Saccharomyces cerevisiae S288C: one gene and its partners. Changing the gene in region 1 together with any one later gene gives a genetic interaction. Each region holds a gene or a part of one and is shown in the gene's direction. Other genes may lie near its edges. The genes, in order: TKL1, NPR1 and RIM9.

Region 1 (3,759 bases):
GTGAATTTAAAATCAAATGATTATAATGTGCGCTATTGTTGCACTGCTTCCCAGGCCGAATAAGAGAGGCACCACATTTATCAAACTGGTTACGTTCGTTTTCTGAAAATCAAACAAAAAATGTCGAGCTCCTCCAAGGCTTCTGCAAGTTCATCCTTGTCAAGCACAGCCACCTCTTCAACTTCTGCAACTAGAGGCAGCGACGGATGTGTTGTTTGCGATTCAACTGCATCATGCCCTGTTTGCGCTTCAGGAGAATATTGTGTTATGACTTCATTAACATGTGACAAGTGCCCATCCACATACTGTGCGAAACAGTCCGATTCACAACTGAGTAGTTTATCTTCCTCCTCCTCTAGTTCTAGTTCCAGTAATTCAAATGAGAAAACCTCGTTGATTGTGGGGTTCACCGTGGGTATTGTAGGTGGTGCGATGCTTATTGCCTTGGTGGCGTTGTATTTCATCAACAAGAGATATTGGAAGCCCAAAAGGCAAAAAAATAAAGCTTTGAAATTGGAAGAGGCATCGCAAAGTTACGGGAATGAAGAGGAATACTTCGACGATGAAGACGATGATGATGAAGACGATGAGGATGATGGCGGTATGAGAAAAGATGAAAGTCACACCCTGTTCAATACGTCACTGGTACCTCCAACTCTCAACGTGCCGGGAAACAGAAGTTCAGCATCTACCACTCGTACAAGGGCTTCTAATATTTTGCCTATTGCCTACATTCCTGGTGTGACAAGCGGTTTGAGTACCGACAAACTGCAATCAAAACTACGCTCGAGCTCTAAGAGACAAAATGCAGCTGGTGATATCAGGTCACATATAACCTTAGGTTCTTCCATCTTGGATGGTCTGGATGACGAAGATGACGAGCATAACCAGGTACTCAATAAGGACGCAGACGATAACCTCATAACTGCTATTCGTGCTAAACCTAAACTGGTTCAAATCGCAGAGGAAGAGAGTGATAAGGAGATTCAGGACTTGGATGTCATTGAAGAACAGACAGAGGCGGATGATCTTTCACACATGGCAAAAAGCGAGGCAAGCCATGGTAATAACGACGAAGATGACGATGAAGAAGGAAGTTTTATACTGGACTTGGAAATTCCAGAATCGATACGCGAGAGCACCCAGGGCAGTCGCACTGAGAGCCCGTTTGAGGACAAGTTCGAAATACACGATGAACGATAAATAAAAGGCGTGTCAGTATTCTGCAATCCCGGGGAAAATATTATATCATATCAATATTCAATGATCTACGTCTATATAGTTACGTGTATACGCCGTAATAAGCGCTTTTTTTTTTTTTTTAATTTTCTGACTACTGTTCAGCCATCAAGGTATGTCTAAATTAATAATATTCAGCATTTTCAACGTGCGCTTACCATCTGCTAATACACAGCTCCTCTGAAAGTTTCTTGGCCGAATGTCATAATTTTCGAACCAAATATAAAAATTCATACACATTAAAACAAGATGTGCTTACAAAGCGGATAAGTTCCGCAGCAGCCAAAGCTGCATTGAGACATTTTTCGCATACACATCACTTCTCTGGGGAATGAAGCATCCGAAAACGCCAACGGGACTAAAATACAGCAAACTTGCATTTTGGTCATTTATGGTTAGCAAGTTTAAGTGCTACTACATTACATATTACCTGACCCTGAAAACGGGCTTAAAAGCCCATCTACTATAGTGCCGCTGCGGGTAACCGTAGCTTCTTGCTTTTTTTCCCACCGTCATTTATTTTCTAGTCTTCTTTCCGAGAAATGCCGGCGGCGTTTGCCGTTCCGTTCGCAATCTCTCGAGAAGTTCGAGAGATGAAAAATTTTCTTGGGAAAGCCAAGAAGGTACGATCGTAGGCATGATTCATATATAAACTCTTTCCCAATCTTTTTGGTTACGTACATACTCCCCCCTGATCTTTTACCTACATACTTGATCGTGACTTCTTGATTCATTCATTTCTTGTTCTCACCGTTGTCTTCCTTTTAAATTTCGTTTTTTAAGTTTCAGATCAAACTGAAGTACAACAGAGAAGGAAGCTCATCCCAAGCAACTCTACATAGTTACCTCTTTAGCAAACAAAATGACTCAATTCACTGACATTGATAAGCTAGCCGTCTCCACCATAAGAATTTTGGCTGTGGACACCGTATCCAAGGCCAACTCAGGTCACCCAGGTGCTCCATTGGGTATGGCACCAGCTGCACACGTTCTATGGAGTCAAATGCGCATGAACCCAACCAACCCAGACTGGATCAACAGAGATAGATTTGTCTTGTCTAACGGTCACGCGGTCGCTTTGTTGTATTCTATGCTACATTTGACTGGTTACGATCTGTCTATTGAAGACTTGAAACAGTTCAGACAGTTGGGTTCCAGAACACCAGGTCATCCTGAATTTGAGTTGCCAGGTGTTGAAGTTACTACCGGTCCATTAGGTCAAGGTATCTCCAACGCTGTTGGTATGGCCATGGCTCAAGCTAACCTGGCTGCCACTTACAACAAGCCGGGCTTTACCTTGTCTGACAACTACACCTATGTTTTCTTGGGTGACGGTTGTTTGCAAGAAGGTATTTCTTCAGAAGCTTCCTCCTTGGCTGGTCATTTGAAATTGGGTAACTTGATTGCCATCTACGATGACAACAAGATCACTATCGATGGTGCTACCAGTATCTCATTCGATGAAGATGTTGCTAAGAGATACGAAGCCTACGGTTGGGAAGTTTTGTACGTAGAAAATGGTAACGAAGATCTAGCCGGTATTGCCAAGGCTATTGCTCAAGCTAAGTTATCCAAGGACAAACCAACTTTGATCAAAATGACCACAACCATTGGTTACGGTTCCTTGCATGCCGGCTCTCACTCTGTGCACGGTGCCCCATTGAAAGCAGATGATGTTAAACAACTAAAGAGCAAATTCGGTTTCAACCCAGACAAGTCCTTTGTTGTTCCACAAGAAGTTTACGACCACTACCAAAAGACAATTTTAAAGCCAGGTGTCGAAGCCAACAACAAGTGGAACAAGTTGTTCAGCGAATACCAAAAGAAATTCCCAGAATTAGGTGCTGAATTGGCTAGAAGATTGAGCGGCCAACTACCCGCAAATTGGGAATCTAAGTTGCCAACTTACACCGCCAAGGACTCTGCCGTGGCCACTAGAAAATTATCAGAAACTGTTCTTGAGGATGTTTACAATCAATTGCCAGAGTTGATTGGTGGTTCTGCCGATTTAACACCTTCTAACTTGACCAGATGGAAGGAAGCCCTTGACTTCCAACCTCCTTCTTCCGGTTCAGGTAACTACTCTGGTAGATACATTAGGTACGGTATTAGAGAACACGCTATGGGTGCCATAATGAACGGTATTTCAGCTTTCGGTGCCAACTACAAACCATACGGTGGTACTTTCTTGAACTTCGTTTCTTATGCTGCTGGTGCCGTTAGATTGTCCGCTTTGTCTGGCCACCCAGTTATTTGGGTTGCTACACATGACTCTATCGGTGTCGGTGAAGATGGTCCAACACATCAACCTATTGAAACTTTAGCACACTTCAGATCCCTACCAAACATTCAAGTTTGGAGACCAGCTGATGGTAACGAAGTTTCTGCCGCCTACAAGAACTCTTTAGAATCCAAGCATACTCCAAGTATCATTGCTTTGTCCAGACAAAACTTGCCACAATTGGAAGGTAGCTCTATTGAAAGCGCTTCTAAGGGTGGTTACGTACTACAAGATGTTGC
Region 2 (3,759 bases), on another chromosome or scaffold:
TAGGAAATAAATACCTTTTTATTGCTCAAGCACAAAAAGCATTAATCAATGTCTACAATCTGTCAGGTTCTTTCAAAAGAGAATCTGTTGAACAGCGCTTACCATTACCTGAAATCCTAAAATGTCTGGAAGTAGTTGAAAATGATGGTGTGCAGTATGATAGAATTCAAGGTGTCAATCATAATTTACCAGACTTCAATCTTCCGTACCTTTTACTTGGCTCCACCGAATCGGGTAAATTGTACATATGGGAGTTAAATTCAGGGATTTTATTGAACGTGAAGCCTATGGCTCATTACCAAAGTATCACCAAGATTAAGTCCATTTTAAACGGCAAGTATATTATTACTTCTGGTAACGATTCGAGAGTTATTATATGGCAAACTGTTGACTTGGTATCAGCGTCCAATGATGATCCTAAGCCTTTATGTATCCTTCACGATCATACTCTACCCGTGACAGATTTCCAAGTTTCTTCTAGTCAAGGAAAATTTTTATCATGTACTGATACGAAACTCTTCACAGTATCTCAAGATGCTACCATTAGATGCTATGATTTGAGTTTAATAGGCAGCAAAAAGAAGCAGAAGGCAAACGAAAATGACGTTAGTATTGGTAAGACCCCAGTATTGCTTGCGACATTTACAACTCCTTATTCTATCAAATCCATTGTACTGGATCCTGCTGACAGAGCATGCTATATTGGTACTGCGGAAGGTTGTTTTTCATTGAATTTATTTTATAAACTAAAGGGTAATGCTATCGTTAATCTGCTACAGTCCGCCGGAGTAAACACAGTTCAAAAAGGTAGGGTTTTTTCCCTAGTGCAACGTAACTCACTAACTGGCGGCGAAAATGAAGATTTGGATGCACTATATGCAATGGGCCAACTTGTCTGTGAGAATGTCCTAAATTCAAATGTGTCATGCCTAGAAATATCAATGGATGGTACATTATTATTGATCGGTGATACGGAGGGGAAAGTTTCTATTGCGGAAATTTACTCAAAACAAATCATTAGAACTATCCAAACTTTAACTACATCACAGGATTCAGTTGGAGAAGTGACCAATCTCTTAACCAACCCTTACAGACTCGAACGTGGAAATTTACTTTTTGAAGGAGAATCCAAAGGCAAACAACCTAGTAATAATAATGGTCACAATTTTATGAAGATACCAAACTTACAAAGAGTTATCTTTGATGGTAAAAACAAAGGCCATTTACACGATATTTGGTATCAGATAGGAGAACCAGAAGCAGAGACAGATCCTAACCTCGCATTACCACTTAACGACTTTAATGCCTATTTGGAGCAGGTCAAAACGCAAGAATCGATATTTTCACATATCGGTAAGGTGTCAAGCAATGTAAAAGTGATTGACAATAAAATCGACGCCACTTCATCTTTAGACAGCAATGCCGCTAAAGATGAGGAAATTACAGAACTTAAGACCAACATAGAAGCATTAACTCATGCCTACAAGGAGTTACGTGACATGCACGAAAAGCTGTACGAGGAACACCAACAGATGCTTGACAAGCAATAAACGGAATAGTCGCGCATTTTGTACAATAAAATAGGAATGTTATTAAAATATACAGCATAGATAGATATAATTCATCACTTGTGCGAAACATCTCATTCTCAATCTGACTGATCATCTATTACGGAATTTTTTCGTTATCAATGACGCATCCCACAATTCCTACCCTTATAGCTTATCTCAGAATATGGGCCGCCTTTAGTTGTATAGAGTTAGTACGGATTAGTCAGTGGCGTACCTAGTGGCAACAATCGGCAGTGACTAAAAATCTTGCTTTTGTTATTGAAAGAATAATAAACAGGAGTTCTCGTTCCTTTGCGTCATTTTCAACCCCATACAAACTAGTTGGCTTGTACCAGAACTCATTAATACTTTTGTCTAACTCTTTCCTATTTCTGATTTTCCAACAGCTCATACCCATTCAAACAAAAAAGGAAAGCTCTACGAAACATTATGTCTTCATTAACTCGATTGCTACAGGAAAAACGAAAAAATGAAACTTCGAACTCATCACCGAGAACTTCTGCTGATACGTTGACCACGACGCCCGAGTCACAATCGCTTGACCTTCACTCTAGGAATAAGAGTAGTAGTCATATTGGTAGCGTGAGTAATAGCAGCAGTAGTGATCGTAATAGGGCTAACGTGCCAGTTCCTGGCAGTGTCACAACTGTTACTCAAATATACTCAGAGGAAGATTCATCATCAACAGCCGGTTCCTCTCTCGACGATAGGAATCAGTTTTCCTCCAGCTTCCTTAATGCAAACTTTGCTCACACTGCATCATTCTACGGCACAAGTGCACAAAGTAGAGATAGATTTGGATCCTTAATAAACGATCAAGGTACTGCAGGACTTTCCTCACATGGTGGTTCTTTTGCTGCACAGAACAGAATCACAAGTAGATTATCTACCACGTCACATACTTCAGGAAGGGCCATTCCTTCTTTATCATCAAGTATACCTTACTCCGTGCCAAATTCTAACAAAGATAACAATAGCTCGAATAGCAACAGCTCCTCTTTGTCTTCTTCGTGGCTCGAAACATATGCAGGCGGTATGCCCAATAATATTTCTGCAATCGATTCAAATGTTATATCCTCCCCAAAAGTAGATAGCGTGGAACCACGTTTTGTTATCTCCAAACAAAAACTCCAAAAAGCATCGATGGATAGTAATAATGCAAATGCCACTCAATCAAGATCTATATCCCGTTCAGGTTCATTCTCTTCACAGCTTGGGAATTTTTTCTTTTCCAAAAACTCAAAAGAATCTTCAAATTCTAACTCTGCAGGCATGTCTTTTTCTGCCAATTCCAATGGTCCTTCTCCAAACATTAAGAATCCCAATGTTACCAATGGTTCGACGCCTATCCCGAAGCCTATCCGCGCAAGACAAAGCAGCATATATTCTGCATCAAGACAGCCAACTGGTTCCTATACTGATAACTTTTACGGTTCCCCCTCATCTGTACATGACCACTTACCTCCAAGTCAAAGTGTTCCAAGGTCACAACATTCTTCCATCGGTGATTTAAAGAGGTTCTTCAAAAAAAGTTCTAACAGTAACCTTTCCTCGAATAGTAACAACGTGATCCCGAACGGATCACCTCTTTCTAGCGGAATTGCCGTTCCGTCACACTCTCATTCATCGTCTCATTTTGCCGCAGGGAATAACTCATATTCCACTAGTTATAACGGAAATGGAGATACTATTTATTCTCATAGTCACGGCGGTTCAGGAATTCCGTTCTCAAAAAGGTACATCAAAACCGGTGCCGATTTAGGCGCTGGAGCAGGAGGTTCTGTCAAATTAGCTCAAAGAATTTCAGATAACAAAATATTTGCAGTGAAGGAGTTTAGAACTAAATTTGAAAATGAATCCAAAAGAGATTATGTCAAGAAAATTACATCAGAATACTGTATTGGTACAACTTTGAATCATCCCAATATCATTGAAACAATTGAAATCGTGTATGAAAATGATAGAATTCTCCAAGTTATGGAATATTGTGAATACGATTTATTTGCTATTGTAATGAGTAATAAAATGTCCTATGAAGAGATTTGTTGTTGCTTCAAACAAATACTTACTGGTGTACAATATTTGCATAGTATCGGCTTAGCTCATAGAGATCTAAAGCTAGATAATTGTGTTATAAACGAAAAAGGTATTGTAAAATTAATCGATTTTGGTGCTGCTGTGGTATTTT
Region 3 (3,379 bases), on another chromosome or scaffold:
TCAAAAATATGGCAATAGCCAAACTCATTCAGAAGGTACAGGAAACACTCTGTTTCTGTGCGTTTATATAACCATGCTTATAAAAGAAAGATTGAACAAAATATACATGAATTTATGAACGGTAATCACCGTTAATTGTTACATATTCATGTGATAAATCACAAGTCCAAAATTGTGCTGCCTGATCACCGGTTCCCAAGTCGACAGACACTTCCAAATCATTCAAAGCCAATATTTCAGAAGCCCTTGTTTCATCGATCTCCAATTGTGGCACACCATTAGCGACAAGCTTCAGCTCACGAGGTTCTGAATTGTCGGTAGCAATAAAGCTAACATTAATTTTGTTGACATCTAGAGATTTTAAGTCATTCAGCTTTGCATACCCGATCGCGCACAATATTCTTCCCCAATTGGCATCTTGCCCATATAGTGCGGTTTTGACCAACATAGAGTTTGAGATTGATTCAGCAATTATTTTGGCGTCTTCAAAATGCAAAGCATTTTTAACGTTAACAGTAACAAACTTTGTCGAACCTTCACCATCGCGAACGACTAACTGGGCCAAGCGCTGAGCAAATTCTGTGACCTGCAATTTTACTTGTTCAAAATCTTTAGAGTCTTCGTTAATTTCTTTGGTGTCAATAGCACCGTTGGCCAACATGCAAATTGTGTCATTGGTGCTCATATCACCGTCCACCGATATACAATTAAATGAACGGGTAGTAGCGAAAGTCAGCATCTTCTGCAACGCCTTGCTTTCAATAGGAAGATCTGTAACTATGAAACCTAATAAGGTAGCCATATTCGGACAAATCATACCCGCGCCCTTTGCCATACCTGTCAAAGTATACTCAGTACCACTAGGTAATTTGAATCTAGATGTAACTAATTTTGGGAAAGTATCAGTAGTACAGATTGATTTGGCTACGTTCAACCAAGAGTTAAAATCACTGCCGAACTTTTCTTCTCCAAAAATTTTATTGATACCAGTGCTGATCTTGTCCATCTGTAGTCGTTGTCCAATAACGCCTGTAGACATGACTAGGGTAGAATTTTTTTGACCAATTTTATCGTTAACCAAATCAATCATTACTTGGGCATCTTTCATACCAAGATCACCTGTGACCGAGTTAGCACAACCGGAATTGACTACAATAGCGTTGATGTTTTTACCACGAGCAGTTTCAAGGACTTTTTTCGATGTCAAAACTGGCGCAGCTTTGAATTTATTGGTCGTGAAAACAGCTGCTGCGGTTGAAGGACGAGATTTATTGGTATTCAAGATTACACCCAGGTCCAGGCTCCCGTTTTTTTTGACTCCAGATGCAGTGTAGCCTACTTCAAATCCTTTAGGAAAAGAGCCCGTCTTGGGCACGTATAATGCATACTTATCTATAAGCTGCTTCGAGCGTTGAAGCAATGTTGATGATATTCTCATGCTATGTTGAATTTTGGACTTCTTTAAATAAAGGGAATAGAAGTATTGCTGATACTAGCCCAAAAATCGTCACCTTTGTGCGGCGAGCCGAGGATGAGGCTTTTATATACTCGACGACTAAAGAAGTTGGCAACGAATTACGCAGTGAGTCATCCTACCTGTCCATCGCAGTAGAAAAAGACCTTCGCCAAGAAAACACCGTCAATAATGATTGCTAAGCACTCTCACTTAGTACTACTATCAACGCTACCTTCAATTTGGGTCTAACCACGGCCCTATTGCATCACTACTCTCTTTATTCTATGATACAGCGTGGGGGTGAAGCCAAGAGCCCTGTGTTTTACTTCAGCATACCAACAAAGTATAAGATTACTTTTGCTATACAGCGATGAAAAATGTATTTTAATGTTTGTAAATTTATGATCTACTGACACGTCTCAGACAGATCACATTTACAACACAGCATGCTATGACTATATACAAAACATGACTTTTCTTTATCACTAAAAGTAACTGCCAATTTATTGTCGAATCTCGCTATAGTTTGATTTTCACCAGCGGCGCGCGCAAGTATAAGCTAAGAAACAATGAATATAGATAGATAGTGATGAGCGTTGAGAACCGGGAAATGAGTAGAGACGTCCTTCTAAACAAAGATTTATACGGTTGAGACAGATTCATTGAGGAAAAGAGGAGAATGGTTAGCATGATCCATATTGTGGTGTTTTTGCTAGCAATCACAACCATGTTCGAAATACTTCCGCTAATAACCGTCCCCGTGACCAAGTACCTATCGTTATCGTCATTCAGAAACCACTATTATGGCCTGTTTGGCTGGTGTGTACGTGGTCAAAACCAAGAATTGATGTGCACGAAAATGAAGATAGGATATGACAGTACAGATGTCGACTCCTCCGGGCACGTTTTGACCCTGCCATCGAACTCAAAAGTGGTCGTCTCCAATTTATTAGTGGTTCACCCGATTTCACTGGCATTCACAGGAACGCTATTAATTTTAGCAGTGATTATCATGGTAACTCCACTAGGGGACTCACCTGAGATGTTATTGTTCACGGCCCTTTTTTCGCTGCCAACGTTCATGCTATGTCTTTTATGTTTTTTGGTAGATATTCTTCTGTTCATCTCCAAACTGGACTGGCCCGGCTGGCTAATGCTAGCCGCTACTATTAGCGTAGCACTTTGTTGTTCCATGCTGTGGGTCATGAGAAGAGTTGTGTCAGTCAAAAAATATGAATCGCAACAGTCAATTGCGCATGCGTGCTCAATGGAACAGTACTCAATTTCCGACATTTACCAGAGTAAACAGAACGGCAATAGCTCAGAATATGAAGTGGCTCCAACACATACAGATAGTCTGATTGCTCCAGAAGTGACATATAGAGGGTTCATTGAATAAGTAACATCATGTGTCATTTTGCACGTTACATCGGTTTGCCAATCGGCTTCCAAATATTTGTACATTTTTTTCTTCCTCCATCACTATCTGTTAAGGGTCTTAGAAAATGATTACTACAGTGCAAGAAATCAGCAAATGGAGAAACCTGTGCTTCATTAGGATGCAATCTCGCAAATGGTACCCAGTACTTAAAAAGACTCCTTTAGTAGCGGACGGTCGAAAGATCATTAAACATGCCGATAAAGTTCCTCATCCGGAAGAAATAATTCACCCATTTTACCAACCAACAGCAATAGAACAATTCACGGCATGCGCTACGGAATACAATCCTAGCCTGCTTGATGGCAAAAAAATTGCTCCATCACTGATAAAACACCCGGTGAGCCTAAAAACCATACTAGTTGATAGCAAATTAAAGTTTGATGATATTAGGGGAGTGAATAAATGGTTGATGGAATTCGTTGCAAGACGACAACATCAAAGAAATATTGTACTTACACCTGCGAGCAAAAGCGTTAGATCTT

Evidence for each region.
Region 2: mutations in TKL1 (region 1) and NPR1 together harm fitness more than expected from each alone (negative genetic interaction), as found in Saccharomyces cerevisiae (2 studies listed by BioGRID).
Region 3: mutations in TKL1 (region 1) and RIM9 together harm fitness more than expected from each alone (negative genetic interaction), as found in Saccharomyces cerevisiae (2 studies listed by BioGRID).

Annotation. Positions count from the first base shown.
Region 1 is NC_001148.4:693,181-696,939, reverse strand, and holds the start of TKL1 (transketolase TKL1), read left to right. Parts: upstream 1-2,101; coding exon 2,102-3,759. Other genes in the region: OPY2 (Opy2p), read left to right, coding at 121-1,203. UniProt on the Saccharomyces cerevisiae protein: Catalyzes the transfer of a two-carbon ketol group from a ketose donor to an aldose acceptor, via a covalent intermediate with the cofactor thiamine pyrophosphate.
Region 2 is NC_001146.8:293,751-297,509, reverse strand, and holds the start of NPR1 (serine/threonine protein kinase NPR1), read left to right. Parts: upstream 1-2,000; coding exon 2,001-3,759. Other genes in the region: chromatin-binding/pre-rRNA-processing protein IPI3, read left to right, coding at 1-1,550. UniProt on the Saccharomyces cerevisiae protein: Nutrient-regulated protein kinase that promotes the activity of at least 6 distinct transport systems for nitrogenous nutrients under conditions of nitrogen catabolite derepression.
Region 3 is NC_001145.3:394,942-398,320, forward strand, and holds RIM9 (Rim9p), read left to right. Parts: upstream 1-2,135; coding exon 2,136-2,855; downstream 2,856-3,379. Other genes in the region: ARG7 (glutamate N-acetyltransferase), read right to left, coding at 113-1,438; AEP1 (Aep1p), read left to right, coding at 2,962-3,379. UniProt on the Saccharomyces cerevisiae protein: Required for the proteolytic cleavage of the transcriptional repressor RIM101 in response to alkaline ambient pH, which is necessary for sporulation and invasive growth.